Linked DNA regions of Diceros bicornis minor. The main gene of each other region encodes a partner of the protein of the gene in region 3 in a complex. Links are inferred from orthologs where the notes say so. Each region holds a gene or a part of one and is shown on either strand. Other genes may lie near its edges. The genes, in order: TAF11, TAF10, TAF6 and TAF3.

Evidence for each region.
Region 1: TAF6 (region 3) and TAF11 share a complex: the UniProt entries of both Homo sapiens proteins name them as parts of the TFIID basal transcription factor complex. The link is inferred for Diceros bicornis minor from reciprocal best matches to the Homo sapiens genes TAF6 and TAF11.
Region 2: TAF6 (region 3) and TAF10 share a complex: the UniProt entries of both Homo sapiens proteins name them as parts of the TFIID basal transcription factor complex. The link is inferred for Diceros bicornis minor from reciprocal best matches to the Homo sapiens genes TAF6 and TAF10.
Region 4: TAF6 (region 3) and TAF3 share a complex: the UniProt entries of both Homo sapiens proteins name them as parts of the TFIID basal transcription factor complex. The link is inferred for Diceros bicornis minor from reciprocal best matches to the Homo sapiens genes TAF6 and TAF3.

Annotation. Positions count from the first base shown.
Region 1 is NC_080753.1:29,813,424-29,820,342, forward strand, and holds the start of TAF11 (transcription initiation factor TFIID subunit 11), read left to right. Parts: upstream 1-3,905; 5' UTR 3,906-4,040; intron 4,041-4,558; exon of another isoform or gene 4,559-4,910; 5' UTR 4,911-5,087; coding exon 5,088-5,258; intron 5,259-6,919. Other genes in the region: ANKS1A (ankyrin repeat and SAM domain-containing protein 1A), read right to left, coding at 3,417-3,607. UniProt on the Homo sapiens protein: The TFIID basal transcription factor complex plays a major role in the initiation of RNA polymerase II (Pol II)-dependent transcription.
Region 2 is NC_080746.1:64,662,011-64,668,162, forward strand, and holds TAF10 (transcription initiation factor TFIID subunit 10), read right to left. Parts: upstream 1,909-6,152; 5' UTR 1,894-1,908; coding exon 1,662-1,893; intron 1,522-1,661; coding exon 1,367-1,521; intron 1,131-1,366; coding exon 1,066-1,130; intron 978-1,065; coding exon 863-977; intron 683-862; coding exon 593-682; 3' UTR 512-592; downstream 1-511. Other genes in the region: ILK (integrin-linked protein kinase), read left to right, coding at 136-285; TPP1 (tripeptidyl-peptidase 1), read right to left, coding at 4,320-4,460, 4,640-4,765, 4,922-5,080, 5,162-5,282, 5,739-5,803, 6,047-6,152. UniProt on the Homo sapiens protein: The TFIID basal transcription factor complex plays a major role in the initiation of RNA polymerase II (Pol II)-dependent transcription.
Region 3 is NC_080765.1:5,656,590-5,663,595, forward strand, and holds the start of TAF6 (transcription initiation factor TFIID subunit 6), read left to right. Parts: upstream 1-4,003; 5' UTR 4,004-7,006. Other genes in the region: CNPY4 (protein canopy homolog 4), read right to left, coding at 1-79, 172-289, 807-929, 1,160-1,256, 1,355-1,481, 3,432-3,546. UniProt on the Homo sapiens protein: The TFIID basal transcription factor complex plays a major role in the initiation of RNA polymerase II (Pol II)-dependent transcription.
Region 4 is NC_080775.1:8,867,023-8,874,615, forward strand, and holds the start of TAF3 (transcription initiation factor TFIID subunit 3), read left to right. Parts: upstream 1-4,588; 5' UTR 4,589-4,750; coding exon 4,751-4,916; intron 4,917-7,593. UniProt on the Homo sapiens protein: The TFIID basal transcription factor complex plays a major role in the initiation of RNA polymerase II (Pol II)-dependent transcription.

The DNA.
Region 1 (6,919 bases), on a different chromosome or scaffold from region 3:
AGAGGGACTAATTTTGATAGAGCACCTACTATATGCCAGGTCTGAGATAAACTCTGCAGTGTGTCTAGCAATCGGCCTGGTACAAAGCAGAAGACGGGTAAACATGTGGCAAGTGAATGGCAATAATGTGGGTGCCTGAGCAGGTCCTCTCCCTTATTTATTGTTTGTAATCTGCCATGGCTTGGAAAACAAATACCCAAGCATAGAAGAACACCATTTAAAATCTGTCTGGCATGGTGCTTTGCACATAGCAAGGGCAGCATGGCACAACTGCACGTGCTGAAGCAAACTCAGGATGGCTAATAGTGAACACTTACAACGTGCCAGAAACTGTGGTTAAGTTTCTTACACACATTACCTAAGACAATACCTATAAGGCAAATAATATTATCCCCATTTTACAGATGCAGAAATGGAAGCTCAAAGTGGTTGAGTAATTTGTATAAAGTTAAGCAGCTAGTGAGTGGTGGCAGTGGAATGTGAACCCAGGCAGTCTGATTCCAGAACAAGTGGTCTTAAGCCTAATATTATATTGCCCCTGAATAAATGTACAGTAAATAAGTGAAGGTCAGAAAGACAGGAAGTGTGTAACAACTTTTTTTTTTTAGTAGAAGTCTTCTTTGCTGACTTTCTGATTCTCAGGTATATTCTCAATTGGTGAGGGTTACTTTATGTAAACATTATACTGACAGGCCAAAGCAACAAACTGTGAAAGCTAGGCAGGCAAAGTATGTAAGTCGAAGAGCTAGTGTACACTACAGATGGGTTCCAAAGAAGTAGAAGCCTGAGAGATCTGTGTGTATGTGGGTCATTAGGGAGGGCTTTAAGAAGTTAAGACCTAAGCCCAAGCAGTATAAGAAAAAAGGGATGGGCTGAGAGAGGGGGCGTTTTGTAGCTTAAGCCTGAAGCCTTTGTGGAATTGGGGGGGTGGTCATAAATAGATGACCAGACAAATACACACGTGGTTTGGAACATTTACATCCACTGCAGCTGTAAGCTCCTACTCCTGTCAGCTATACTTGGTCCCTCAAACAGCTGGACAAACGTAGGCTCTAGTTGGCAGTACTAGTGGGGTTAGGATATGGCAGCTAATGCAAAGGCCAGATCTGCAGCTAGGATTCCACAGCTCTCATTAAATAACGCAGGGTCCTTGAGGTGGGGAGTGTGGGCACAAGGGACCTACCCTCTACTATTTCCAAACCTAAAAAGGGAGGACATGCTGACCTAGGGATTATTTAAATGCATGGTCTCATTTGCTCAGAAATCTTTCACAAGGTTGAACCAGAGTCACCTCTAATTAATGACACACCTAGTGTAACTAGTGCCTGCAGATCCTCCCTGCCCCTAGGAGTCCCAGGGATAAGAGACTGGGGCAGCTCTTAGGCCATCTACTGTCTCGACAACAGACACGAGCAAATCAGGAGGAATCAGCTCTCTTATGCAAGGGAATAGAGACACTATCTACGCTTTATGAAAGACTGGAATATTCACATGAGGCCCAAAGTAAAAACAGTGTGCTCAACAAAGATTTCCTAGTCTTGCCTAACCACACGGCAGTTAAATCCTCAGTAAAATTTCAACAGTCTCTGAGTGAGAACACTAAGAGTAACTTGACCTGTACTTGAAGGCGGGAGATACGTGAAGTATCTCACTCCAGCAGGACATGTTGGGGGTTAACATATCTCTGGTGAACCTCCAAATGCTACATCATTCAACTGATTAGAGACAGGCACCTCCAAACTCGTAGAGTCTCTCTCATCTCTCAGACATCAGAAGTGCAGAAATATCAAAGTAATCCAGGTAAGATTCAAAACCCAATTCATGCATTCACAGTACATTTATTGAAGACCTCTGAGTTGTCAGGCACTGATCTAGGGACTGGGAATATAAACAAGAGCAAGACTAAGTCACTCTGAAAGATGGAAGTGCACCCATCCATTATTATTTCCCTTGATCACACCCAACCACTCAAGGCTCCAGGCAGGAAGTTCTTCTAGCGCCCCACTAACACCAAATAAGTCTTCTTTCCCACTTCTGTGCCTCTGACCATGGTGCGCCCACCTGGAACACTCTCACCATACTTCACCTACCCAAATCTTCACATCTTTCAAAGCCAGCTGTATTTTCCCTCCTCCTGGAAGCCCTGATCTCCATCTCATTCCAAAGCGATGTCTCATTTCTCTGAACTACTAACAATGACAGTGAGTACCACTATCAGTTTATTTAGAAATTTATCATCCTCTCATTGATACTTTTATTCAACAAATGCTGAGTACCAACTATGTGACAGCATTGTTCTAGGGGCTGGAGAAATCCCAGCAAACAGTACTGGGTTTTGCCTCCCCAAAAGACCTCCTGGGGAGAGTTCTTCTCTTATACTGCTTTTTAAAATCTTCCTCTATAGACCTGAGTTTGTATTCAGTGCTTAATCTAACAATTTATTAGACCCTTGGGCTTCTTTGGTCCAAGCTCACTTAAATTGAAGTTACATAAACTAATGGGGAACAAAAGCAAACGAAGTCATTTCTACATGAACTTCCACTTCTTAAAAACCTCAAAAGAACAAGGAAGGAAAAGAAAACAGGCTATGAAAGTGCTGCTGAACCAACATATTTTACTCACACTGACAAAGCACCTCCAATCCCCCCTCAGAGTCACACAAAAGTGACCTTTTTTCTCTCAATCCTTACAGCTCCAGATTCAAGCGTTTATTTTAACAACAGACCCTGGAAAAGTTTAAAGCATCCCTCAGTTTCCTAAACAAGTCTTTCTGAAGCTTTATTTCTTGATGAATAACCCCCCTGATGAATCCTGCCTATGTCACTTAACAGACCAATCCAGCGAGGTCCACTACGAGGAACTAGAATTTGAGCTTCAAGCAAAAGAGGGGCTCAAAGAACACTTTGAACGTAATAAATCCAGATACAATTTTAATATAAACACAAGCCAGGTCCTGCAGAGCCTGATGGAAGGTTCCAAGTCCCCAAAAGAAAGAAATCAAGAGAATTTCCTCCAAGAGAGCCGCGAGATTCTGCAAGGCGTGGGAGTTTCTGCAGGAGGTGAGGGAAATTTAAAATACATAAGTATTTTTTGCTCTAAAGTGGCTTGTGAGCTACGACAGCTGGCACCCTATAAAGGGCGAGGGTGAAGCCGGGCTGTGCCATGCGGTGCAGGCTGCCACCTGGGCACTCCCACCATTCTTCGCAGCCGGGTCAGGACGCGAGACGAGGAGAGCCAGGCGCCGCGCGGACCCGCACCAGCGCCCCCGGCTGTGCGGGCCTCCTGCCCTCGCCCCGGGGCACCCCGCAAACCCAGCCCGCCCAGGTCTCAGGAGCCCCGACCTCTCTGGGGACCCAGGAGACGGGCAGAGGAGGTGGGGTCTCCAGGCAGCTGCCCGGCACCGGCACGTTACCCACCTGAGCAGACTGGAGAGGGGATGGCTCGAGGAGCCGAGGCCACCGCCGCCGCCGCTGCCACCCCCGGAGCCGCCCCCGCCGCCGCCGCCGCCCCCGAAGCCTGAGGAGAGCCGCTTCCCGGACAGCAGCTTCTCCACGGCCGGGAGGTGCCCGGTGCGGGCCGCCTCCAGCAGCTCCTGCTCCTTCCCCATCCCCAGGGCCGCCGCCCCCTGGACCTCCTTCCTGGGGCCGCCGCCGAGCCTGCTCGGGCTCCCAAACTTTCCGTCTCCGGGCAACGCACCCCCCAAAGCGGCCAGGGACACCACCCCCCTCCCCCCCGCCTTTTCCCCCACGCGCGCGTCACTTCCGGGATCCGGCGTCACGCGTCACCGCGCCCCCGCGCCCCGCCCCCTTGCCCACCTAGATGGGCGGGGCTCGGCGGGGCGCGGCGGGCGGGCGCAGGTGGCTGTGGTCTGCGCGAAGTGGACCCTGCGGTGAGGAGATAGGCCTCCAGGGGCAAGGGGACTGCGCCGTGTGGGCACCCACTGTACGGGTGGAAGAGGACAAACGGGGCCCACCTGTATGCGCCTCCCGAAGGGCATTCCTTCCCCGAAGGTTTTGGGATCCCACAGGACAGGAAATACGGTAATTCACCCAGGCAGTGTAGAAACAAAGAGAGAAATATGGTAACGCGCACCTACATTTCCAAGTCCATTCTTTCAGCACGCATGAATTAAATATGTAATGGGTGTGGGGACCCAGTGATAACAGAAGTGAGTAAAATACTCCCCTCCGTACCTCAATGAGGGAAGAGAGGAAAAATTTTAAATAGAAATATCCCCACTTCTTCATGCTCCCAATCCCTGACATGGCTCGTTAAAGTGACAAGTTCAAAGGAAAGACCTCCCTCCCAGTAGCATTTGTTTCCTCTTAGTTTTGCTGAGATTAAGCAAACTGACATAAAAAGTCAGATTTGTGAAACTGATCCTGATCTTGAGTACTGGTGAATTGGAAAAATCATTTAATTGAGTAGAAACTATATCTGTTTTGTTTCTGGTAGTAGCACTGTTCCTGGCTCGAAGTAGGCGCTCAGTAGTTGAGGAGTGTATAAATGGATTGGATAAATTCTGTTCAAGATATATGAGTTTTTGGTTTTTTTTAAGGTGCTTGAGGAACAGAAGAGGAATGCTGGCAATTCAGTGTAAACACAGGCCCGCAGTCTCTGTCCAATTGAAACGTATGAGGTTGAGTCCTCGACTGAAAGTTGACCAGGCAGCCGCATCCCACGACAAGGGCGTACAACGGAATTGAGTTTTTCTCGCGTCCCCGAACTTGACTCTGAGGAAAGCGGATTAAGGAAGCAGTTAACTGACATTTTTAGAAAGGCAGAAAGAAAAAAGACGTCCTTCAGTAAACAACAGAGCTCTCCTTTACAAATGCTGGTTTGGCAGGGTGGAAAATCCAAACTGACTTCGATACTCTCAATTTTCCCTCTCCGCACCGCCACCGAATCAGAGTCAAAACGGAGCCCTGAAGTCCTCTACGCGCGCCTCAGAATGACCCCTCCGAGGAGCAGTAGGGGTGATGTCATCGCAGCGCGACAACAGGAAGTAAGCTGGGTGGCTGTGCCGCGCGCGGTCTCGAGCTCCTGAGTCTGACAGCACCGCGATCTCCTCTCCCCTTCTCGCCGCGATGGATAATGCCTGCGAGTCGCTCACGGAAAAAGGTGGAGAGACAGGGGAGTCAGATGAGACTGCCGCTGCTCCCGGGGGGCCCGGGGCTACTGACATCGACGGAATCCCGGAGGAAACTGACGGGGACGGAGATGGGGACTTGAAAGAAGCCGCAGCTGAGGAAGGCGAGGTAAGGAGAGATGTGTTGATGAGGCCGGGGGAGTACTCCGAGATTATGGTACCGGCTGCTCGACCGGCTTCCTGGTTGGTCCCTCCCAAGCTAAGATAACGCGAACTCACCATGACTGCCTCTAGATCTGCAACCGCGGGGGCGCCTGGAGGGAGGAGACAAAACTGTAGTGCTGGTTTGGTTCCAAAAACCCAAGTACTGGGTAAATATTTTTAATCAAAGCAAAATTTTAAATCAATTTAAAATCAAGGGAAAGTTTTAATGCCTTTAGGTGTTACAGCTACTTCTAAGGGAATTTTAAATAGCTTCTTGGTTTTCCTGGTGAGGAAATTGGCATCTGATATCACACTGTGACTAAGTGCAGAGCTAGAACCCAGGATTCCTAGTACCCCTTTCCCCGCAATATGGTTTCTCTTAGATGTTGCTTAAGCCTAACTTCGTCATTGGCTGCAGATTCGTTAAAGGGAGACTTTGAAGGGGTTACTGATTTAGTCACGTTTTTACCCTCTGGGGACATTTAACTGCTACCAGTGACCTGGGTGCTAATGTCCAACGGTCTCTATAGCATAAAAACACCAAATTCATCAGTTGTGCTACCTCAAGAGCTCAGCAGTGTTGCCTAGCTGAGCATCAGTCAGGGGACCGGAATCTCAGCGTTCTCTGGGTTCCATTTCTAGAGATAGAACCTTGGGGTCTTAGACCTATAAGGGACTTAAAGAGATCATGGGGGAGGACATTTGATTAGATGGAAACAGCCATTCAGAGCATAAAGTTGCATCAAAATATATAAAGTAAGAACTTATAGAAAAAGAGAAAAATGTGATGAAACTATTTTAAGAAGGAACCTTTAAAATAGATCTCAAGGGCAGAAAGGATTTGAAGAATAATTAGCTTAGTCCAGTAGAGAGCTCACTACATACAGAAATTTGCACCCAACAGAAGATAAAATTCTTTTTTTGTTGTTGCTTCTGAAATGCTTTTAAAAATTGATCGTATACCAGACCAAAAAAATATATAAATTCTTAAAAGCAGAAATCATAACAGGCCACATCCTGTTTGTAAAGTGCAGTAAACCCAAAATTAATAACAAAAAGCTTCTCCCACCCCCCACTCCTTCCCAAAAACTAATACCCGGACATTTTAAACTGTTTTCTAAATAGCCTTTAGATTAAAGAAATTAACAAAGAGAACATTACATCAAATCCTATGGGATTGGACCAAAACTTTATTTAAAGAAAAATTCATATCCTTATATATTTTTATTAACAAACAGGAGATATTGAAAATAAGCACCCAACGCAAGAAACTAGAAAAAGAAAATAAATCAGAAGAATGTAGGAACAAGGAGTCAATAAGGATAAAAGTAGATATTAATGAATTAGCACTTAAAAAACATAAGAAATGATAAAAGAAAGACCTGATTATTTGAAATGTATATGCACAACATTATGAAATAAGAAAGGGCCAAAGGCACTGATACAGAAACTTTTAAAGTTATAAGAAGGCCGGCCCCATGGCTTAGCGGTTAAGTGCGCGCGCTCTGCTGCTGGCGGCCTGGGTTCAGACCCCAGGCGCGCGCCGTGGTGCCACTTCTCCTGCCATGCTGAGGTCGCGTCCCACATACAGCAACTAGAAGGCTGTGCAACTATGACATACAACTA
Region 2 (6,152 bases), on a different chromosome or scaffold from region 3:
GACAATAACTGTGGTGGGGCTGGGCTCTCATACTGTGTATGTTTGGATATACAGTAATCCTGTCCTGAGGGCTAGAGGCCTTTCCCCACATGACTCAAGTTCTGAGACCTACCTGGTTTTTCCCTGTATCTGCAGGTGGCACTGGAAGGCCTTCGGCCTACCATCCCACCAGGCATTTCCCCCCATGTGTGTAAGCTCATGAAGATCTGCATGAATGAAGACCCTGCTAAGCGACCCAAGTTTGACATGATTGTGCCTATCCTGGAGAAGATGCAGGACAAGTAGGGCTGGAAAGTCCTTGCCTATACTCCAGAGGTGTCAGGACACAGGGGAGTGCACCTCCCCAGAGCTGCAGGCCTCTGGTTGCCTTCCCTGCCTCCAGTCATGGTACTACCCCAGCCATGGGGCCCATCCCCTGCCCCCGTCCCTACCACTGTGGCCCCAAAAGGGGCTGGGCTCAGAGCTTTGTCACTTGCCACACGGTGTCTCCCAGCATGGGAGGGATCAGCCCTGCCTGTCACAATAAAGTTTATTATGGAAACAGGCTGGTGTGGGGTCAAGGGGACAGACAAATACATTTAGGTTGGGTGGCTCAGGTGAAGTAGTGCGGCTTCTTCACATTGATGCCATACTCGCTGAGGGCAGGGGTCAAGTCCTCCATGGTTAGAGTGTACTTGCGGTCCTGAGGGAAGACGGAAGAGCACCAGCTGAGCAGAGGAATCCCAGATTTTAGTCCCAGGTGATGACCCTGAGTAGGTCATTCACCTCCCCTAGAGCTTAGTTTCCCCAAAGGAGTTTCAGCATAAATTAAGCCTCTGCTGCTGGGGAGGTAATTACTGATTCAATGAGCCTCCCCTCACACCTTGCTCTTGCTTCGGGAGCTGCCAGAGGCTGTGCCCTTCATTTTGCAGTGCTGTAGGGCATCGTTGGCAATATCTGAGATGAATTTCTGGGCAGCTAGGGAGATGAGCCGAATTCTAGAGAGAAAAAACTGGTATGAGGAGGAGATGGACAACAGAGTCCACACAAGCACCCAAGGCTCTAACCTGCCCACAGGTTACTCACATGCGTGGGTCCGAGGCCTCAAAGCCAGCACGGTTCAGGTAGTAACCAGTCACTGCATCTGGGATCTGAGAAATCAATTAGATGACTGTCAGTGTTAGCCCTGTGCACGGCAGTGAGAGAGTAAGGGAAATGGGGGAGGACAGGCCTGGCTATCAGGAAGCTCACAGTTTGGCTGGGCAGAGGGGATAAATCACAAGAGCTAGCAGGGAAGCAAATACAAGAGGACGCTGGAAATCCAGGTGGTGTGGCGGAAAGTTGGCGTGACAGCGTGTCAACAGCCTTGTTCAGGCTGGAAGCCCACCGTAGGCGTGTAATCCTCCAGCTGCATCAGGAAGTCCACCAGAGGCGTGCTGGACACCACCGGCTTCACCTCTCCGTTGGCCGCGCTCGGCAGCACGTAAACCCCGTTAGACATGGCCCCCTCGGGGGGCGCCGCGCCGCCCGCCGACACCGGAGCTGGAGAAGAACCAGCAAACTGAGACACGGAGGTGGGGGGCGCAGGGCCCCGGCTAGATCTGCCTTAGACCCTCTGCTCTCACCCGCCGCTGGGCCCAGCCCAAGGCGCTGCCCTCGCCCTCACCCGTCCCGGCCCTCACCCGCCCCGCGCCGCTCGGCCGGCTCCCCGGCCCGCGCCGCCACGGGTCCCGTGCCCGCTGCCGCGGCTCCAGCCCCAGGCCCCCCTGCTGTCCCCGCGGGGCTGGCCTTGTTCTCCACAGCAGTGCCGGCGGGCAGCGCGGCGGGGGCCGAGACCGCGGGCGCCGGGCCCGGGGCCGAGGCGGCGGAGGCCGGCGCCGCCTCGGGGTCCGCGCCAGAGCCGCTGCAGCTCATCGGGCCGGTGGGAGAGGCGGCGAACAGAGCCACTTCCGCTTCCGCTCACGTTACGCACACACACCATGGGTGACGTCACACGCCTCGCGACTCGCCGCGCCCACGCCGTGTTCGCCCTCCGCCGTAGGTTTTCCGCCTCCCGGTTGCCCATCCTCCCGCTGGATGACATGGACTGAAGGTTGGGGACCAGCCTAGGAGAATGGCGCTGGCCGCGGACATTCCACCCTCTACCCGCGCCGTATTCAAGTGTTCCGCTGGGATGGGAACCCTTGAATGTCGAGGACTCTCTTCGGTGGGTCTGGGACCCCCTCATTCAGTCTTACGCCTAAAGACCTTGCTTTGGGGCTCCTGGGCCCAGCCCCCTCGACCAGGAGGCCTGCCAGCCTGCATCCTTTATAGCTCCCTCATTCAGTGTTTTTAAGGCTTAGTAATGGAGTTGGAAAGCCCCCACTCCCCGCCAGCTGCCGGGAGAAGTGAGGGCAGCGGGAGAGCGCACACAGTGTTGCTGTAGATGGTGGAAAGAGGTATTTCAGCCTGGGTAAACAACATATGCAAAATCACAGCGAGTGAAAAAGTGGGGTTTTAAATGCAGCAAACATTTATTTGATTCCTATTTGCCAATCCTGAGCTAGGGCCTGGGAATACAAAGTTAAGTAGGACAAGATTCTAGTCCTCTAGGCACCAATGGTCTTGGAAAGGGAGGCAAACAGGTAATCTGGCAATTTCAATATTATGTGAGATTTATAATCCTAGAGGTAGACACAGAATGCGGTGCAGCAGAGGAAGGGAACTAACATCTGCTGCTTACTTCTGTGTGTCAGGTGCTCTATCAACTTGATTCCATTTAATTATTCCTTGCTTGTTATGAGAGGCAGGTATCGATATCCCTACTTAACATGAGAAAAAAGCCTCAGGGAGATGAACTTACTTGCCCAAGGTTCTCTTCTAGTCTATATCAGAACCAAGAATCAAACTGGTTTGGTTTCAAAAATCTAGGATTTTTCTGACATGCCAAAATCAACTAATTTCAGGAAGCCAAAAGGTTCACAGGAGAAGGTGACTTCTGAGCTGATTCTTGAAAAAGTCCTGGAAGTCAACCAAGCAAAGGGGAGTTAAGAGTAGTGTTAAGGGCACAGAATGTCTTGAGCAAGAGTGAAAGTGTGGGGAGGAGAGCAGGGGAGGATAAACAACTTGTTACTCAGGAACAAACAGCAAGGAAGGGATCCAGTTTGTGAATCATGGTAAAAAGACTGAACTTTATCCAGTAATCTTTGAAGGGTCTTAATCAAGTAAATGACCTGATGGGATTTGCATTTTACTCTGGAAGATGGTTTAGGGAAGGGCAGAACGTAAGGACACTTTTTGCAAGGGCCTCCTACAGTTCAGAGGAGAGACAAGATGGCTCTAAGCTAATGTAGTAGCAGTGGAGATGGAGAGAAGCAGACGAGTTCTAGATATACTTAGGAGACATAACTGGCAGGACTTGTGGATTGATAAAGATGTATTTAAGAGGTGAAGTCAATAGGACTTGATTGAAGGTGGTGATGGGGGGAGGTGAAGGAAATGGGAGTCTAGGATGACACTTAGGTTTCTGGCTTGGTTGGAAGAAGCGTAGTATCATTTACCAAGAATAAACAAAAGAGAACAGTTTGGGATTGGGAAGGAGGGAGATCAAGTATTGAGTTTCACACATCTTGCATCTGTGGTATCAATTACTGTTGGATAGAAAGTCTGATTTGGGAGATGGTGATGGCTGTGGATGCCAGTGATTGATTTCTTCCAGGGGACAATGGGTAGAGTGACGAGAGCAAAAGACTAAGGATGGAGCAATGAAGTACACCAATATTCAATGAGGAAGAAGAGAAAGAGAAGGAGGAAGAGGGAATGAAGGAGGAAGAGAGAATGGTCAGAGGAAAAGTTAAGCCCTGGAAGCTAAAGAAGGAGAGAGAGTGAGCAACTATGACAGAGAGCCCCTAAAGCGGAAACTGGGACGTGTGCACTGGATGAAGCAGCAGGGAGGCCATTGTTTCTCAGTGTCGGGAGGAAAAAGTGAAAAAATGAAAGCAGAGGTTTCGTTGCAATGAATTGAGAGAATATGTGGTGGAATAACGTATACAGACTGCGTAGACAACCCTTTGGAAAAGTCTGGTTGAAAAGAGAAAGAAGAAATGGGGGGGGGGGAATCCCAAACAGTACTGGTTATAGCATCTGTAGAGGAACCTGAGGCAGGAGTAGGGAGACCTGAGTATCATGGAGCAGGGAAGCATTGGGAATCAAGTCAAGCTCACAGCATTTCAGGGTTAGGGAGATAAACTATCTGCAGCAGTCAACAGTTGAGGGTTCAGCAGGGCTTCCAACTGCAGAATAAGGGACCGAGCCGCCAGCCGTGGGGCAGGGGACAGGCCCATTCTCTTGGTAGGAAAGGGTCAAGGGTTGATTAGTGTCTTCAGTAGAGCTGGGAAGTTGGGTGTTCCCCAGCCTGTCACAGGATCCCAGCCAGGGCCAGAGCAGAAACCCTCACCCTGCACCTCTTCATTCAGACAGGACTCATGGCAGCCACGGGTTACCTAGGGAGAAAGTGGGCATCAGATTTGGGTCTGCTGGTCCCAGTACTAATAGACTGCACTCCCTCACATTGTATTCACATCCCAGGGGCTCTCCCACCCCGTAAGAACTGCCCTCAAGTTCATTTTAGCACTCCCCATACTCTTAGGAAAACGTCCGCCCCCTTCCATTCCACACTTACATCAAAGAGTCCTGTCCCACGCTGCTGGTAGAGCCTTGGGTTGAGAAAGCCAAGAGAAGGGTGGCCACTGAGAATTCTGTGTTCATTTATCAGGGCTAGGAGACCCCCAAACACTGGAGTAGAGGCCTGCAAGGGTGAGGGTGTAAGTAGAGGTTAGGGGTTCAGAGTGATTGGACTTTGGGAGAGGGATGTTTGAAAGGACCAGAGGTCTCTGAGGAGTCAGGGGTTCTGGGTGCAAGAGTAGTTGCTGAGTGGGGGTTTTGGAGCCAGGCTGATTCTCACCGAGGTGCCAGACACCCATGGAATGGGCACATTGTTGCTGACCACCCAGTAGCCATCAGAGAGTGCAGCCACATCTGGGTAGGCACGGCCACTGGCGTTGAAGTAACTGGATGGCGGCAAATGGGGGCTGGAGCTCAGGAACTGGGATACAGCTTCCTCCTGAAAGGCATTGCTGAGTGAGTCTTGTCTGCTGAACTGAGGATCCCCCCTACCCATCCACCCACACAAACATATGCGTACCTGGTATGAAGGCCGTGGGAACACATTGCTAAAGCCACCACCACTGATATAGTCAACAACTTCATTTGTGACTCGGAAAGGATTCTGGAAGGATGTGCCTCCCACCGTGGTGACATAGGGGCTGAGGGCAGAAGACAGCGCTCAGATCGTAGGGGTCCCAAGGGGACCTCCAAAATGAGTAGGGATGGGGAAGTATGCCCTGGATCTTGCATAGGGGCTGGACTTGCAGAGGGGCTGGACTCTGTAGGGAAGCATGTACAGGGGGATGACTAAGAGGTTTTGAGCCCTCAAGGCATGGCCTGAGGTGACTGTGCACATTTTTCCCTATGGAACACCCACCAAATCTTTCACTAAAATGCCTGGGGACTGAGGAAAAGGAACACTGGGAGCTGTGTCCTACTCAGGAGTCTTGGGGCCTGGGACCTACAGGAAGAAGAGGGGAGTGCAGCAACCAGAGCAGGTAAAGCTGAGGGCTGAGTCACAGGAGGGCCTGGTGCGGTCAGGCAAAGGTTCCAGATCAGGAGGTCACAGATGAAAGGTTGGTGGTCACAGGTAAGTGGTCGGCTAGGGTGCTTACCTGGAGGCAGGGAAGGTGGGACGGAACTGGTGTCTTCCAGAGACAGACCAACACCCAGCCCCACTGTCACCTGGGAGAGAGACCGAGTTTAGCACTCAGATTAATTGGTCAGAGCTTGGTGTGTGGGTTCAGATGTCGGAGAGGAAATTCAAGTGTTAGTCATTACTGCAAGAGGTCAAAGTTTAGAGGTCAGTCAGTGGTCTCTGTTGAGTTCAGATTATGAGTCAGAGATGAGGTTCACATGTCACTGTGGGTCAAATCTGCCAGGTTGGGTGGGTGAGTGGAGGCGGTCTAAATTTGAGTAGGAGGTCACCTGAGGCAAAGAGCAGGGTAAGACCACGAGCAGCAGCCTTCATGAACTCGGTGTTGACCCGCTGGAGGTAGGCACTGCTGAGGGAGTCCTCGTCATCTCCG
Region 3 (7,006 bases):
TCTTGCTCCTCTTCCCCTTCTGTCTTCTCTTGCCCATCTGTGATCTTCTCCTTTCCAGTCCAAGTTTCCTGGAGACATGCTAAGTTGGATGATAGAAAACAATTTAGATATTGGGCCTGGGGGTAGTGGAGGGTGTAGTCTGGCAGGAAAGGAACCAGCTCACACACTTACCAGTTTCAGTAGCTGGGAGCACATGACCTTCACAGAGAAAATGCTGTAGGGGCTGCTCCTGATGATGGAAGTACCAGTCTCCCACAACATCTTCAAACTCCTCCAGCATCGTCTCACACTGGTCAAATGGAAGGGTCAGAAGGGTATCTGCTCTGCTGGGTTTTGGAAACCCTCCTCTCTGCACTTCACTCCCTGTCTCCCAACCCCACCTTGGAGAGGCAGGTAGCCAGGAGGTTAAACTTGGCTTACTAGATGTGTGATCCTCATTCATTCAACAAACATTCACCAGCACCTACTCTGCCAAGTAGGTTATTAAACTCTGAGTCTCAGCTCCTTGCCTGTAAAATGAAAAATGGTAATAGTACCTCCCACGTCAGGTTGTTGTGAGAGTAAAATGAGGCAGCAGCTGCAAAGTATGTGGCCCCGAATCTGGCACATAGTATCTGCTCAGTAAGTGACAGTGCATATTATTAGCCTCCATTATTACTTCTTGATATGCTCCTGGGCCCACTTCAACCGATGGCAGAGTCTTCACTCTGCCGCCTCTCCCTGCTTAGAAGTGGACCTCCCTAGGATCTAGCTCCCCTCCCAGGTTCCCTTCTCTCCTCCCTGGGCAGTGCTAGTATCCCTCCTACCTGCTTCTTAAGGAATGTGACCTCCACGCTGGGCTCGTCCCACAGCTCCAGAGGGATCCCCAGATCCACCTTCACCCCTTTCTGCACCAGGCCTTTCAGCGTTGCCATGGTCTGACTCTGCCCCTGAGAGATGGGAATTTGGGATGAGCCCCGCCCACTGCCCCGCCTCTTCCTTCCCCATTCCACCATATCAGTTTTGTTGACTAGCGGAGACTCAGGGGGGAGTTCCATGAAGGTAAGATGAGGGAGTCTACAATGGGGAGAGGATACTCCAGAGCTGGGGGAAGATGGGCGCGAGGGGATACAAGTGTTGTTTTTGAGAAGTGAGATCCTGCCTTGGGGAAGAGTCTGACCTTGGCATATCTCAGTGAGCCCTTGCGCTCAGCATGAACACTGTAGTCCAGAATCCGCTCACATAAGTTCTCCAAGGCCTCTTCTAGCCTTGTCTCTCTGTGGAAAGAGGGGAAACAAAGATGTCCCCGGATGCTGTGGGAGCTCCCAGGGCTCCTTCAGGGGTTGGAAGGTGGAGGAACACAAGAAGGACTCACGAAATGCTGTAGGGGATGTGTCTCTTCCTCTTGCCTGTGTCCAGCACCTGCCCCAGCTCCAGCATCTCTCGAGATCGGCCAGTGCGACCCAGCTCTTCCTGTAGCTCCAGGCTCAGCAACTTACACACTAGATGTCCAAGAGGATGTGAAAGACAAACAAACATACCAGCGACTCATTCTGCAGCTGAGCAAAGGCAGCAGAGAATGATGGTTCTAAGTGCAGACTGGAGCCAGCCTGACTGAGTTGGAATCCTGACTCAGCCACTTAGTAGCTGACAATCCTGCCGTGCCTTGGTTTCTTCACCTCTAAAATGGAGATAATAATAGTACCTCCCTCATAGGGGTGTGGTGAGAATTAAATAAGTCAATCTGTGTGAAGCTCCTAGCATAGTGCCTGGCACATAGTGAGCAGTATATAAGTGTCTTCTGTTGTTCTGCAGTCATTTATTGACCTCCTTCTGGATGCACAATAACAATACAGAGAGCAGTAAGACCCATGATCCTTATCCAAGGGACACTGCCATGTAGTTGGGGACAGAGAAAAACATGATGACAATATGGTGTGATAGACCCTACACTAGGGGTTAAAACCAAGAGACTTAGTCTCACTAGGAAATGCAAAATTCATTCAATGGTCATTTATTGACTTCCTACTAGCCTGTGATTTCCTTAAGGGTGAGCATTGCATCTGTTCCACCACTGTCTTTCCAGCACCTAGCACGTGTCCTGGCACAGTGACTCCCAAGAAAAGAGAGTGGCCCATACAGAAGGGCCAAGCAAACTAAACACAGGGGCAAGTAACAAAAGTGCCTAAAATGTGCCAGGCACTAAGCACTAGGCTAGGACCTGGGAGACCCAGGGATTCTCCTTCCCTCCAAGGTCTTATAACATAGTGGGAGGTGATAGAAAAGGAAGAAGGCTTCCAAAGGAGGTGACATTTAAACTGAGTCATGAAGCACCAAATACAGAACGGAGAGGGTCATTCCAGGCAAAGGGAAAAACAACCTGTAAAGGCACAGAGGTGCGAGAGGATAGGGCAGGCTTGGTGACCGTGAGAAGTTCACTGTGGCTGAGGCCTGGACTCTTTGGGGATGGGGGTGGGGTATGGAAATGTAAGAAAGGTGGGGGCCATACAACAAAGAGATGTATGCTATGCCAAAAACGTTGGCTATATTCTGACCACAGCAGGAGGCCTGCAGAGGGGTTAAAGCAAGGACTGACTGGGTCTGTGTTTAGAAAAACTGGCAGCGGTCGGGGGGAGAAGAGTGGGGACACAAGTGAAAGGAGAGGAGAGATTAGGACCAAGTCATGAGGAACACTGATAGTGAAACGCACTGTGGAGCGAGGTGAAGGGAAAAAGAATCCAAGGAAGAAATTAAAGTCAGGAAGGCAACAAACTAGGGAGCCAGGGCATTGAATGGCCCAACTCTGAAGTGTCCCCTCCCAGCTGGGCAACCCACGTGAGGCAGCCACAGAAGATGCTGCTCGCTGTAAAAGCCATATAGTACACACCCTCTGCAAAGCCTCACACGTATGGGGAACCTCTCCCAGTAGTGTGGCCTCCTCTTTCATTTATGAGCATCAAGGGCTGATTTACTCACCCCCAAATCCCCTCAGGAGGACGTGGGGCCTGTAATTTGGGAGCGTCTCTGCCGGGGTGGAGCAGAGGCTATCCACAAGGTACGAGCCTTACACGCTGTTCCTGCAGGCTCTCCAGATTTAGGTCTAGTGGTATGGGGGAAACACAAACACACAGAGGCACTCAAGATGCTCAGTAGAGTGGGCAGTCCTGGGCAGATAGTCCCTTAATTACAATTCCCACAAACCATTGGGGCCCAAGCCAACAAGGAAAAACGGGCTCCCCCTGGATGTCTCATGGCAATTGTAGTGCCATAGTTTGGGGGTAGCGCTATGGGTTCCTTCCCTTGACCCCATTCGAATTCCGCCAACCTCCACCAGAACCTCCCTCAGGCCTTTAAGGAGGTCGAGTGACCCAGCCATCACGGTCCATTTGGCTCGGCCTAGACGAAGGAGGTGGGGCAGAGGGATGCGAACAGAGGCTACTCCCTTTTGATACCTTCGCATTTGCTGGGCAAGCGTTCTGTGTCATCGTCCTCCTCTTTCGGCGTCCCAGCCCAAGCAACGTACACAGCCAAAATGAAAAGCAATATTCCCAGCCGCACAGGTCCCATGACAAAGTGCTGTGCACAACCAACCACCCCTTGTCGTCTAACCAACTTCGGGAAGGCAGCGGGCCCTTTAAATCGCGAGTCGGTCGGCGGCAACTTAAATCCAGCCTGGCAGGGGAGGCGCACGCGCAGTGCTGGCCCGAAAGGGGGTGGGGCCTCACTACGCTCCGGGCTTCCCCGCCTCGATGTGGTGGCGGCTCCGGAAGGTCCTGGCCGCTGGGTGGTGAAGGAATAAACTGAAGTAATTGCAGCAGGAGAGTGTGCTCCTTACATGTAGACACAGAAACAGTGTTTTTTATATCATTTCATACCGTGAGCCTAGGGGACTTATTCCGGCTCGGGGAAGGGGCAGTGTCTTGCTCTCCGTCTCTGCAAGGACCTGCTCCCGGGAGGGGGCGGGGCCAACATGGCGCCGAGCGCCGGGTGAGCGGCGCTTTGGCGGCGGTGAGAGACTTTTCCTGCCCTGGACGCTCGGCTGGCGGGGGCGGGTCTGAGTGGTACCCGGGGCTAGACCCTTTGAAGGGCCCGTGTGGGGACCCGGAGGAGGACGGTTGGTTGTGTGTCCGTGCGCGTGGGGACTCCGTGTGTGTTTGCATTGGAGGGATGTCGGGGGGGATGAGCCGGGCTCTGCGCTTCCTTTCGCGCTGTGCCCATTGCCTGGGGACCAACGACCCGCATCTCTGCTGGGGAGACTCTACACAGATCTAGCTCAAGTTACCCCTCCTCTGAGAAGCCTTGCTGCCCACTCCACTGACCTGAGGGGCTCCTGAGGTCGTAGCGTGTTTTATGAGCGTTTACTGGCGGAGGGTAACGCGAGGTATTGAAGGATTAGTAGGAGTTCGCCAGGGAACTGCGACACGACCGCTTCTTGTATACCTGGCTCCAGGCACAGAGTATGTGTTGAATAAATGTGTTCCCTGCAGATAAGACTTATAAACCTGGGGGAGGAGACCTGGGATGGTTTGAGAAAACCAGATTCTCTTTCGCTTCCATCTTCCCAGCCCTCCAGCACGCCCCAGCCGTCCCCCACCTACACCCGCAGTCAGTCCTAAACACTCTGACAGTAGTCTTCTTAATGCCAGCTTCAGGCAAACCACTTTCCTTTTGGCCGCAAAGTAGATTCCAAGCTTGGCCTTTATCTTGTTCATTTTGATAATAGTGGTACGAAGTATTTATTGAGTACCTCCATCTCTAAGCCTTACAATTCATTCGTTTACTCAACAAATATTTATTGAGTATCTACAGTGTCTCAGGCACCAGTCTGGGGTCTTGGAATACATTGGTGAATATAACAGAGATCTCTGTCCACACGGTGCGGGAAGGGGAGGTGTGGTGGTGATAAACAATAAGAAATGATACGATATATATTAGCAGATCTTAAATGCTATGGGGAATAAAAGGGCAGAGTGAGGATGAGGTGTGGTATTAAATAGGATGGTGGGAATGGGCAGCCAAGCTGACATGGGGGAAGAGCATTCCAGGCAGAAGGAACAGCAAAAGTCATAAAGCAAGAGCATGCTTGTCAGGTTTGGACAGCGAGGAGGACAGTGGGGCTGGATCAAGGTGGGATAAGAAAGGAAAGGGGGTCAGAGATGTAACGGAGAGAGGGCAAATCACGAAGGAGCTTGTAGACCGTAATAAGGATTTTGGATTTTACTGTATGACAAATGAGGAGCCATTACAGGGTTTTGAGCAGAGAAATGACCTAATCTGATTGATATTTTGACAGAATCACTCTGGCTGCTGTGTTGGGAAGAGATGTAGGGGGCGGTGGTGGAGCAGGAAGACCTTGTCAGAAGTTACCCAGATGATAGATGGTGGTGACCTGGCCTCGCAGTGAGAGTGAGACATTCAGGTTGGATTACCTGTGGGTTTGATTTGAGGACTCACATAAAGAATGAGCACCTGGATGGATGGTGTCGCTCTGAGGATGAAGAAAGCTGAGGCTGGAGCAGGTGGGGAGATCAGGAGTTCAGTTTCAGAAGAGATTTTATGTAGACAGTTTGACATACGAGTCTAGAGTTAAGAAGGCTCCGGGCTGGGGATATAAATTTGGCCATCATCAGCCTATGAGCTATACTGAAAGCTGTGAGAGTGGTTGAGGTCACCAAGAGAATAAGTGTAGCTGCAGAAGAAGACCGAGGACTGAGCCCAGGACACTCCAACATTAAGCAGATGAGAAGATAAACCAGTAAAGGAAACCGAGAGACCAGTGAGGTAGGGGGAAAACAAAGAGAAGGTGGTGTGGCAATGCAGTAAAGAAAGTGTTTTCAGAAGGCAGTAGTCAACTAGGCTATACGCTGCTGGGACGTCAAGTGAGATGGGGAAGGAGAGTGGAACTTGGATTTGGCAATGTAGAGTCATCGGTGACCTTGAGCCGTTTCAGGGACCAAGTGGGGTCAAAAGCCTGATTGGAGTAGGTTCAAGAGAGAAGGAGAAGACAGGAGTTAGAAACAGAGTTAAGACAACTCTTTCCAGGGCCGGCCCTGTGGCTTAGCGGTTAACTGCGCGCGCTCTGCTACTGGCGGCCGGCGTTTGGATCCTGGGTGCGCACCAACGCACCGCTTCTCTGGCCATGCTGAGGCCGCGTCCCACATACGGCAACTAGAAGGATGTGCAACTATGACATACAACTATCTACTGGGGCTTTCGGGGGGGGGGGGGGGGAGTCGGAGGATTGGCAATAGATGTTAGCTCAGAGCCAGTCTTCCTCAGCAAAAAAAGAAGGATTAGCATGGATGTTAGCTCAGGGCTGATCTTCCTCACACACACACAAAAAAAGACAACTCTTTCCAGGAGTTTTGTTGCAAGGGGGATCCGAAAAACAGAGTATAGCTTGTAGAGAAAGTGGAATGAAGAAAAGATTTTTTAAAAAATTTTTAATTGTGGTGAAATACACATAACATAAAACTTACCATCTTAACTATTTTGAAGTGTGCAGTTCAGTAGTGTTTAAGAATATTCATATTGTGTAACCATTACCACCATCCATCTCCAGAACTCTTTATGGTGCGAAACTGAAACTCTGTACCTGTCAAACAAGAACACCCTTTTCTCCCCTCCTTCTAGCCCCTGGCAACTACCCTTCTACTTTCTGACTCTATGAATTTGCCTACTCTAAGAACATCATATAAGTGGAATCATACAATATTTGTCTTTTTTGTGACTGGCTTATTTTACTCAGCATAATGTCTTCAAGGTTCATCCATGTTGTAGCACGGGTCAGAATCTCGCTCCTTTTTAAGGCTGAATAATATCCCATTGTATGGATAGACCACTGTTTTGTTGTTTTAGATGGGAAAAATCACTGCACTTTGTAGGCTGATGGGGATGATCTGGTAGGTTGAGAAATCGATGCTGCAGGGAGATGGGAGAAATGCTGGAGCAGTGCTTGAGCTCATGAGGGGCGTGAGCAGTTTCTCCACAGTAGCAGGTGTGAAGGCAGAGTATGTGGGCCCCAGTG
Region 4 (7,593 bases), on a different chromosome or scaffold from region 3:
CATTTCAGGACAATGGGAAAATCTGAATATGCACTTTTTATTGGATAATATTATCGTATCAATCTTGAGTTTGCTGCATGTGATAATGGTATTACGGTTTGGCGGAAGCTGTGATGCACCTCCCAGATCCCGCTTCAGCAGGACTGAAGGACATATTCACCCAGCTGCTGCGAATGCTGTCAGCACACAGCCCTCAGCTGTCAATCTTCTTTGGAACTGCCTCCACTGGAGACCGCCTTGCCCAAGATCATGGCCCCCTCCTGGGATGCCCACATCCAGCACCTGATCAGTGTGGGAGTATAAAGGCCAGGCCCCCGTACCTGAACTCACGACAAGGAAGGGCCTTCCCAGCTTTACAGCTCTCTAGGGGTCGCCAAGGTCCTCCTTGAGGGTGGGCCGGCAGCCCAACACCTCCCTCCCCCAGCGCTACTTCCTTTCCAGCCCTTCCCTTCCCCAGGTGGTGATCCCAAGGGCATGCCTCTGCAGGCTAATCTCCACCTCAGAGACTGCTTCCTGCAGAGCCCAACTGGCACAGTTTGTACCAGAAGGGCTTGAGGAAGCAGACACTAAGATAATGGAAGGGATCTGGGAGCTGGATCAGCCATCTGGTTGGCCATGTGGTAGGCAGAGCACAAAAAGTCCCGGGCACAAGGTAGTAAGTAGTTCCTGAATGTGCAGGTTGTAAAACTTTTACCACTAGTGAACTGGGGTAGTACAACAGGGGAAACAAGCTGGTATGATGTATCAGTGATACCGGCTCAAGACAAAGTTGACATAAGGGAAGCCATATTGTTGAAAAGAAAAATTCTGTTGTAATTTTGAATGACGTCTGACAAACTAACCCAGCTGCATATGCTCCCTCCAGATCTACCTGCTCTGTAGATTTTACGACCCCTGCTTGTGCATGTACCTCCCAGCTGTGATAAGATGATAACTGCTTTTTTGAGTTCCTTAGGAATGTGATGACCCCCGAACAGAGAGTCTGTGCTGATAGCCATCATCAGTGAAAACTGAAAGATCTGGTGTGGCGACTCCCAGTCTGTAAGACCAGAAGGTCAACATTCCTAACCCCCTCCCCTATAACCCACCGGCCTAGATAACTACTGTAAGATTTGTGCCCCCTTAAGATGGTTCTTTTAGATATTACTCGGCCATCTTCCCTCTTGCTAGCAAGCTGTAATAAAAAAGTCCTTTCTTTCCTACCACCTTGCCTCTTGACTATTAGCATGTCTTGTGGCGAGCAGAAGGCCCCACGTTGGGCGGTTAACATCAGTGTTCAGGTAGGCAAGAAATATGAGGATGACAGGACCCTAAAATGATAGAGGCCAGGTAGGAGTGTTCTAACTGCAGATGAGTCAGAAGCCAGGTGAATGCAATCATGATAAGTAAGAAGCGGCTAGTACACAAAAGGTCATGGTAAGATACATGTGTTCTGGAGGGTGGGAGATAAACTCTACAAAGATTCAGGGGCCCACCATATCAGTAAGATTTCTAGGGTCCAGCGGTCTGGGGCATGCCGGCACATCTCTTGCAAAGGGTAACTTGTTGCATCTTGTACCATCCACCACGAAGAAGGAAGCACAATGCCTGGTAGGCATCTTTGGGTTCTGGAAGCAGAATATTCCACATGTGGGAATTCTGCTCTTAACCATACACTGATGGCTTGAAAAGCTGCCAATTTTGAGTTGGGGCCCAGAGTAGGAAAGTGTTCTGGAGCAGGTTCCGGAGCAGTGCAAGTTTCTCCCCTACTTGGGCCATATAGCCTGGTAGACCTTATGTTATTAGAGGTAGCCATGACGGGAAAATACTCCACGTGGAGGTGATGGCAACTCTAACGGGAAGTAGCAACGCAGACCCTTAGGTTCTAGAGTAAGTCCATGACATATGTAGTGGAGAATTACATCTTTTGAAAACCAGCTCCTGCTATGCTAGTGGGCCCCGCTAGAGATGGAGTGTCTGACCATGGGCACTACCCAACTATGAACTGCCCATCACGAGCTGGGTTCTGTCAGACCTATGTCAAAAAGTCAAGCCTAGTGGCAATCCATCCTAAGACAAAAGTGGTACTTCAGGACCCGTCATGAGCAGGGCTGGGAGGGCACAAGCAAGCGCGTGAGAAGGTAGGCCAGACCCCAAGGTCCATCATTAACGATGCACCATCACTCTCCCTCACTTTAGACCAGTGGCTGCATGGGGGTTCCTTATGACCAGCAGAGCAGGCAGGACGAAAAGCTTAGCTCAGTTCATGGACGAACTGGCTCGGCATGTAGATGCAAGCCACAAACTGTGGCTGTGACTGTTGCCATAGCCTTACTCCATGTGGCCCTGCAAGACAGCAGTGAGGGGAAACCCTCCCACCTGGCAGAGCATCGGGCAGTGTCGAACCCACTTGCCTGCCACAGAGACCAACGCTGACTCCCTATGTGCTGAACTGTGTCCCCCAAATTCATAGGTGAAGCCCAAACCCCCAGTACCACAGAATGTGACTGTATTTGGAGAGAGGGCCTTTAAAGAGGTAATTAAATTAAAATGAGCCTGTTAGGGTGGGCCCTAATCCAATCTGACTGGTGTCTTTATCAGAAGAGATTAGGACACAAAGAGAGAGTGCACAGAGAAGACCATGTGAAGAGAGAACAAGAGGGCAGCCCCCTGCAAGCCAAGGAGAGAGGCCTCAGAGGAATCAGTCCTGCCTGCACCTTGATCCGGGACTTACAGCCTCAGAACTGTGAGAAAATAAATGTTGTTTAAGCCTCCCAGTCTGTGTTATTTTATTATGACAACCTGAGCTGACTAATACACTTTCCAAGGAGACCAACTAGCCACTTGTTGGCAGGTTGACCACAGTGGCCCCTTTCTTCCTAGAAAGAGCAGCCATTCACTTTGATAGGAATAGACCCATATTCTGGGTATAGATTTGCCTTTCCTGCTCACAGTGTTGGATGTACTGGTGTCCCATATCACGCTGTGTCAGACCAAAGGATCCATTTTACAATGAAGGAGGTTGGGAGTGGGTATACAACCGCGACATCTACTGGTCCTATCACATACCACACCACTCCAAAGCTGTTAGCCCAGGAGAGCAATGGAAAGGCCTTTGAAGGCACAGGTAAAGTACCAGCTCACAGGCAGTACTTGTGAGGATGGGGCGTAGCCCCCCAGGATGCTGCATACACTTGAAGTCAACGACTTGTCTGTGGTGCTGGGTTCCTGATAGGTAAACAACTTGGGGTGGAAGCTGGAGTCTCCCCACTTACCATCACTCCCAGTGACCCATCTGGGAAACTGTTCTTTTTTTTTTTTTTAAAGATTTTATTTATTTATTTATTTATTTTCCCCCAAAGCCCCAGTAGATAGTTGTATGTCATAGCTGCACATCCTTCTAGTTGGTGTATGTGGGACACGGCCTCCGCATGGCCAGAGAAGTGGTGCGTCGGTGTGCGCCCGGGATCAGAACCCAGGCCACCAGCAGCGGAGCACACGCACTTAACCGCTAAGCCACGGGGCCGGCCCTGGGAAACTGTTCTTGTCTCTGCAACTCTGGGTTCTCCAGGTTGATAGTCCCGATTTCCAGAAGGGAGAATGCTTTCATCAGGGGACACAGCAGGAGTCCCACTAAAATATTAGCTACAGTTGCCACCTGGGCACTTCAGGCATAAAAGGGCCTATTTAAGAAACCAACTAGATCAGCTATTACAGCCTGGCTATCCACAGGCTGATGCTAGCCTAACTGTGGCATTAGTGTGGCACGCAAATTAAAACTTCAAAATGTATTCCCAGTATTTAAAAATCAAAGTATTTATCAAAATTCCGATTTCTAACAAATTGGATAGATCTGACAACAATGAGCGGGAGCTGGGAGAAAGCTCTGGAGCCGGCAACAGTGCCCCATACACTCAGCCTGCTTCATTGATTTACCTGTTTGGCCTTCGTAGGCAACTGAGTTCTCGCTTCCTTTTGTTTTTGTAAATAAAGTTTTATTGGAATCAGGGCTAGGATTAGAATGACGTGCGGCAGGATTTTCTTTGGCAGTAGTTTGGCTTTGAAAAAAAACATTGTATTAAAATATTATTGATCTTGATTAAGTTTTTTGGTGCCCCCAGAAATTTTACACAGAGGCCACTGCCTCGGACTTGATTTAATCTACACTATGGTAAGCAGCTTAATTTTTTTGTTCGTGTTGAGCAGAGACAAGACCAGGTCAGATCCATGTTTTGGGGAACACTTCAGTTCCCACGCCCCAAATCCCGCCCGTCAGGTTCCCACTTCTAACACCCCATTTCAACATCATGTTCTGGCTCCCTCTTTTGCCCCTAAACCACTGACAGTCCGCTCTTCCTTCCTCGCCACACGCGCGCCCCCCCGGGAGCGCCCCACGCACCTGCCTCCGGGGCGCATCCTCCACCTGCGCTCGGCACAGCCGCTTCCCGCATCCGTCCAGGCCCGAGAGCCGATGCCGACACCATCGCTCCGCTCCAGCGGGGCGGAGCTTCCTCATCGGCGCGCTCAGCACTTGGCTAGTGCTGCCTCGCCCCGGCGACCGTCCAGCGGGAGGCGGAGCGAGTCCAAAATGGCGGCTCTCAGGCTGGCGCGCTCCGTGCTGCTGAGGCTTTGAGGTGGTCGCCAGGGGTCGGGGGGGGACGATTTCCCCGCCGCGGGGGCCCCAGAGGATGAATCGGGGGCTCTGCTAAGGTTAGGCCGTGGGGGTGGAGAGCAGTGGCAGCAGGGGCTGCGGTGGAGTCCACGGAGCGGGATGTGCGAGAGTTACTCCAGGTCGTTGTTGAGGGTCTCGGTGGCGCAGATCTGCCAGGCGCTGGGCTGGGACTCGGTGCAACTCAGCGCCTGCCACCTCCTCACGGACGTGCTGCAGCGCTACCTGCAGCAGTTGGGACGGGGCTGCCATCGGTACTCTGAGCTCTGTGAGTACCGGGCTGGGTGCGGGAGGGCTGCCTCTGCCAGTCACGAGTGACACCTCGGGGCTCCCCTGCGCTCGCTCGGCGTCCCCGAGGTGCTGGTCCTTCACCCCCACCCCGAGATCGGGTGTCGTCTCGGCCGCTGACGCCCCTCCGCTTCCACTGCCCCTGGAAACTCTAGTCGTCCGCGGGGTGCCTCTTCCTCATCCGCTAACTTCCCGCCGCCAGCCGGGAGCCCTGCCTGCGCTCCCGGCTCCTCGCGCTCCCACCCTTCTCTGATCAGAGATGCGCCTCGGTCCTTCTCCTCGCCTCGTTTTTGCTGCGTGTAGAACCACCTCCAGAATGCCTCACAGCCTCTTCTACTTCGGTCCTTTTCCTCCCTTGCCCGCAAACTACTACAACTAGTTGTCACAGGCGCTCCGTCTACCGGCCGTTTCTTACCAGGCTGGCCATTCTTCAGCTCATAACCACACATCCTCGTTGACAGCTCTGCTCCGTTAGGGACCCTGCCTCTCCTCTGTGTATCTGTTCTCGTAGGCGGCACCTCCGTTGACTCTTTCTCAAGGCCAACTTTCTCAGTTTCAGTAAAACTTTCATTTACATCTCAGTCGCCCATTGCTTTCCTCCTTTCTGTTTTCGTGTCAGTGGTCATCGAAGTGTGGTCGAGGGGTCGAGGGCAGTTTACAAGGTTCTCCAGGTAATCTGGGCTGCAAGTACTTATGGTTTTTAAGTTTATGTCTGGTAGTGTCTATAGCTGATGGCATTTAATAATTTGGAATATTTAATAGAAGCCACACATCATCTCATTGATGTGAAGTGTGGGTGTGGAGGGGAACTACCCCTCATTTAAGTTTCAGGTCATTATTTTTAAGGCGATAAGCTGAAGAACTGGGTGAAGTGTTTCATAGGATATTTTGTTTTGTTAGAAGTAGTTCCTAGACTGGAAAATTGAGACCCATGGATACACTTTACTTCTTAAGCCCCAAATTCCGTTCCAGCTTCCATAGTGCTGCCCAAATAATCTGTCCATAACACAGATCAGATCGTGTTATTCTTAAAAATATTTCAATTGGTTACAGGCTGAAAATCTAAACTCTTAAGCAGTGCTCGGTTTCCTTTGTGAACTAGCATTTTGCTTATCTTCTGCCATCATGCCATCCTATTCTGCAACCATGCTGAGCTACCTGCCTCTTCTGGAACATTTTAAGCTATCCAGGCCTATATGCATGCTGTGTCCTACAGTGTCTTTGCCCCCTGGTCCACCAGTAGTACTACTTATATTTTGAGATTGGCTTATCGCTTGCTTTAGGAAACTCATGTTATCTACTCTCGTAATTCTCTGCATATTTCTGTTATGTTTTTCAACACCTTATTTTGTAATCATCTGTGTATGTCCCTCTCCTTCCTCCTCCCCAGGAGACAAATTTATTTGTATTCTGTAACCTAGTATGATGCCATAATATAATAGGCACCTTGGAAATATTTGAATAAATGAATGAACTGATAACCCACTACCATAATAGCTATTTAACCACTTCACTTTTTGAGTTTTGAAAATGTGTAGTTTTTGAATGCTTGGTTTCACTGATACTTCTAATCTAAATTTGGAACTCCCAAGTAACTCTCATTCATTGTTATTTTGAAAGTACCCCACCAGCACATTACTCTCCTGGCTTTTGCTTCTTTTCCCTCTCGGCCCCCTTCATGGTCCTTGAGTATACTGTTACGGTTATGCCTAGTCCAGATTGTATTTTTGCTACCAAGTTCCTTAAATAAGACAGATGTCCTGTACATTTAGGTAATCAAAATATCCCCTGAATACATAGTTACCTTTCCTGCCTTATACACAGAACAAGAATATGTGCTGGTGCTCCAAGTCGTCAGGTATTCCATAGTCATCGCGTGATCATTGTTATGCGTTAATGTGAATCTTTTTCCTAATTACCCAATTTTCTGTAGTCGATTTTCTTGCTTTTAGTGAGAATGCAATTATCAGATACATTATTCCCCATTGTGGTTTGGTGACTTTTTTAAAATGCTAATTCCTGTTATACTTATTAGTTACAGGCTTTTTTAGGTTCTTTTTGCTATACTATCCTACTTTTAAACTCGAATTCTGTAACCTCAGGTTACTGCTGTGCAATCTTATATTCTATTCCTTTAAATCCTTTTTGTCTTTTTGACAAACATTTGTTGAACACCACTTATGAACTAAGCTCTGTGCTAGATGTTGGAGACATGAAATTACTTAGGCACAATCCCTGCCCATAAGGCGTGTACAAGGGTGTCAAAATGTCCACAAAAACAAACTGATGGAATTTGTTCCTTTTAAAAAAAAAAGTGTTCTCAAGTTAAAGCAAGTATTGGAAGTTACTATTAATTCAATAAATAATGTATTTTTAAATTCCCCTAAGGTAATGATTTGTCATAGCTTTCAGGGGCACATTTTCTGCGTATATCGTATTATGTATTAAATATGTGTATGTGCACCGAAAGCAGATGCTAAATCTTTCAGAATGACTCTTCAAGACTGGTACTCTAATGTAATAATTGCATGGTCTAGGCAGTAAATGCAAAAGGAATAGAGTAAAGGAGAGATGGGTGTGGGCTGTGGGTTCTGGGGCAGGATTACTTCCCAGGAAAGATGAGATTTAAGTTGAGCTGTGAAGTATGATTGTTTAAA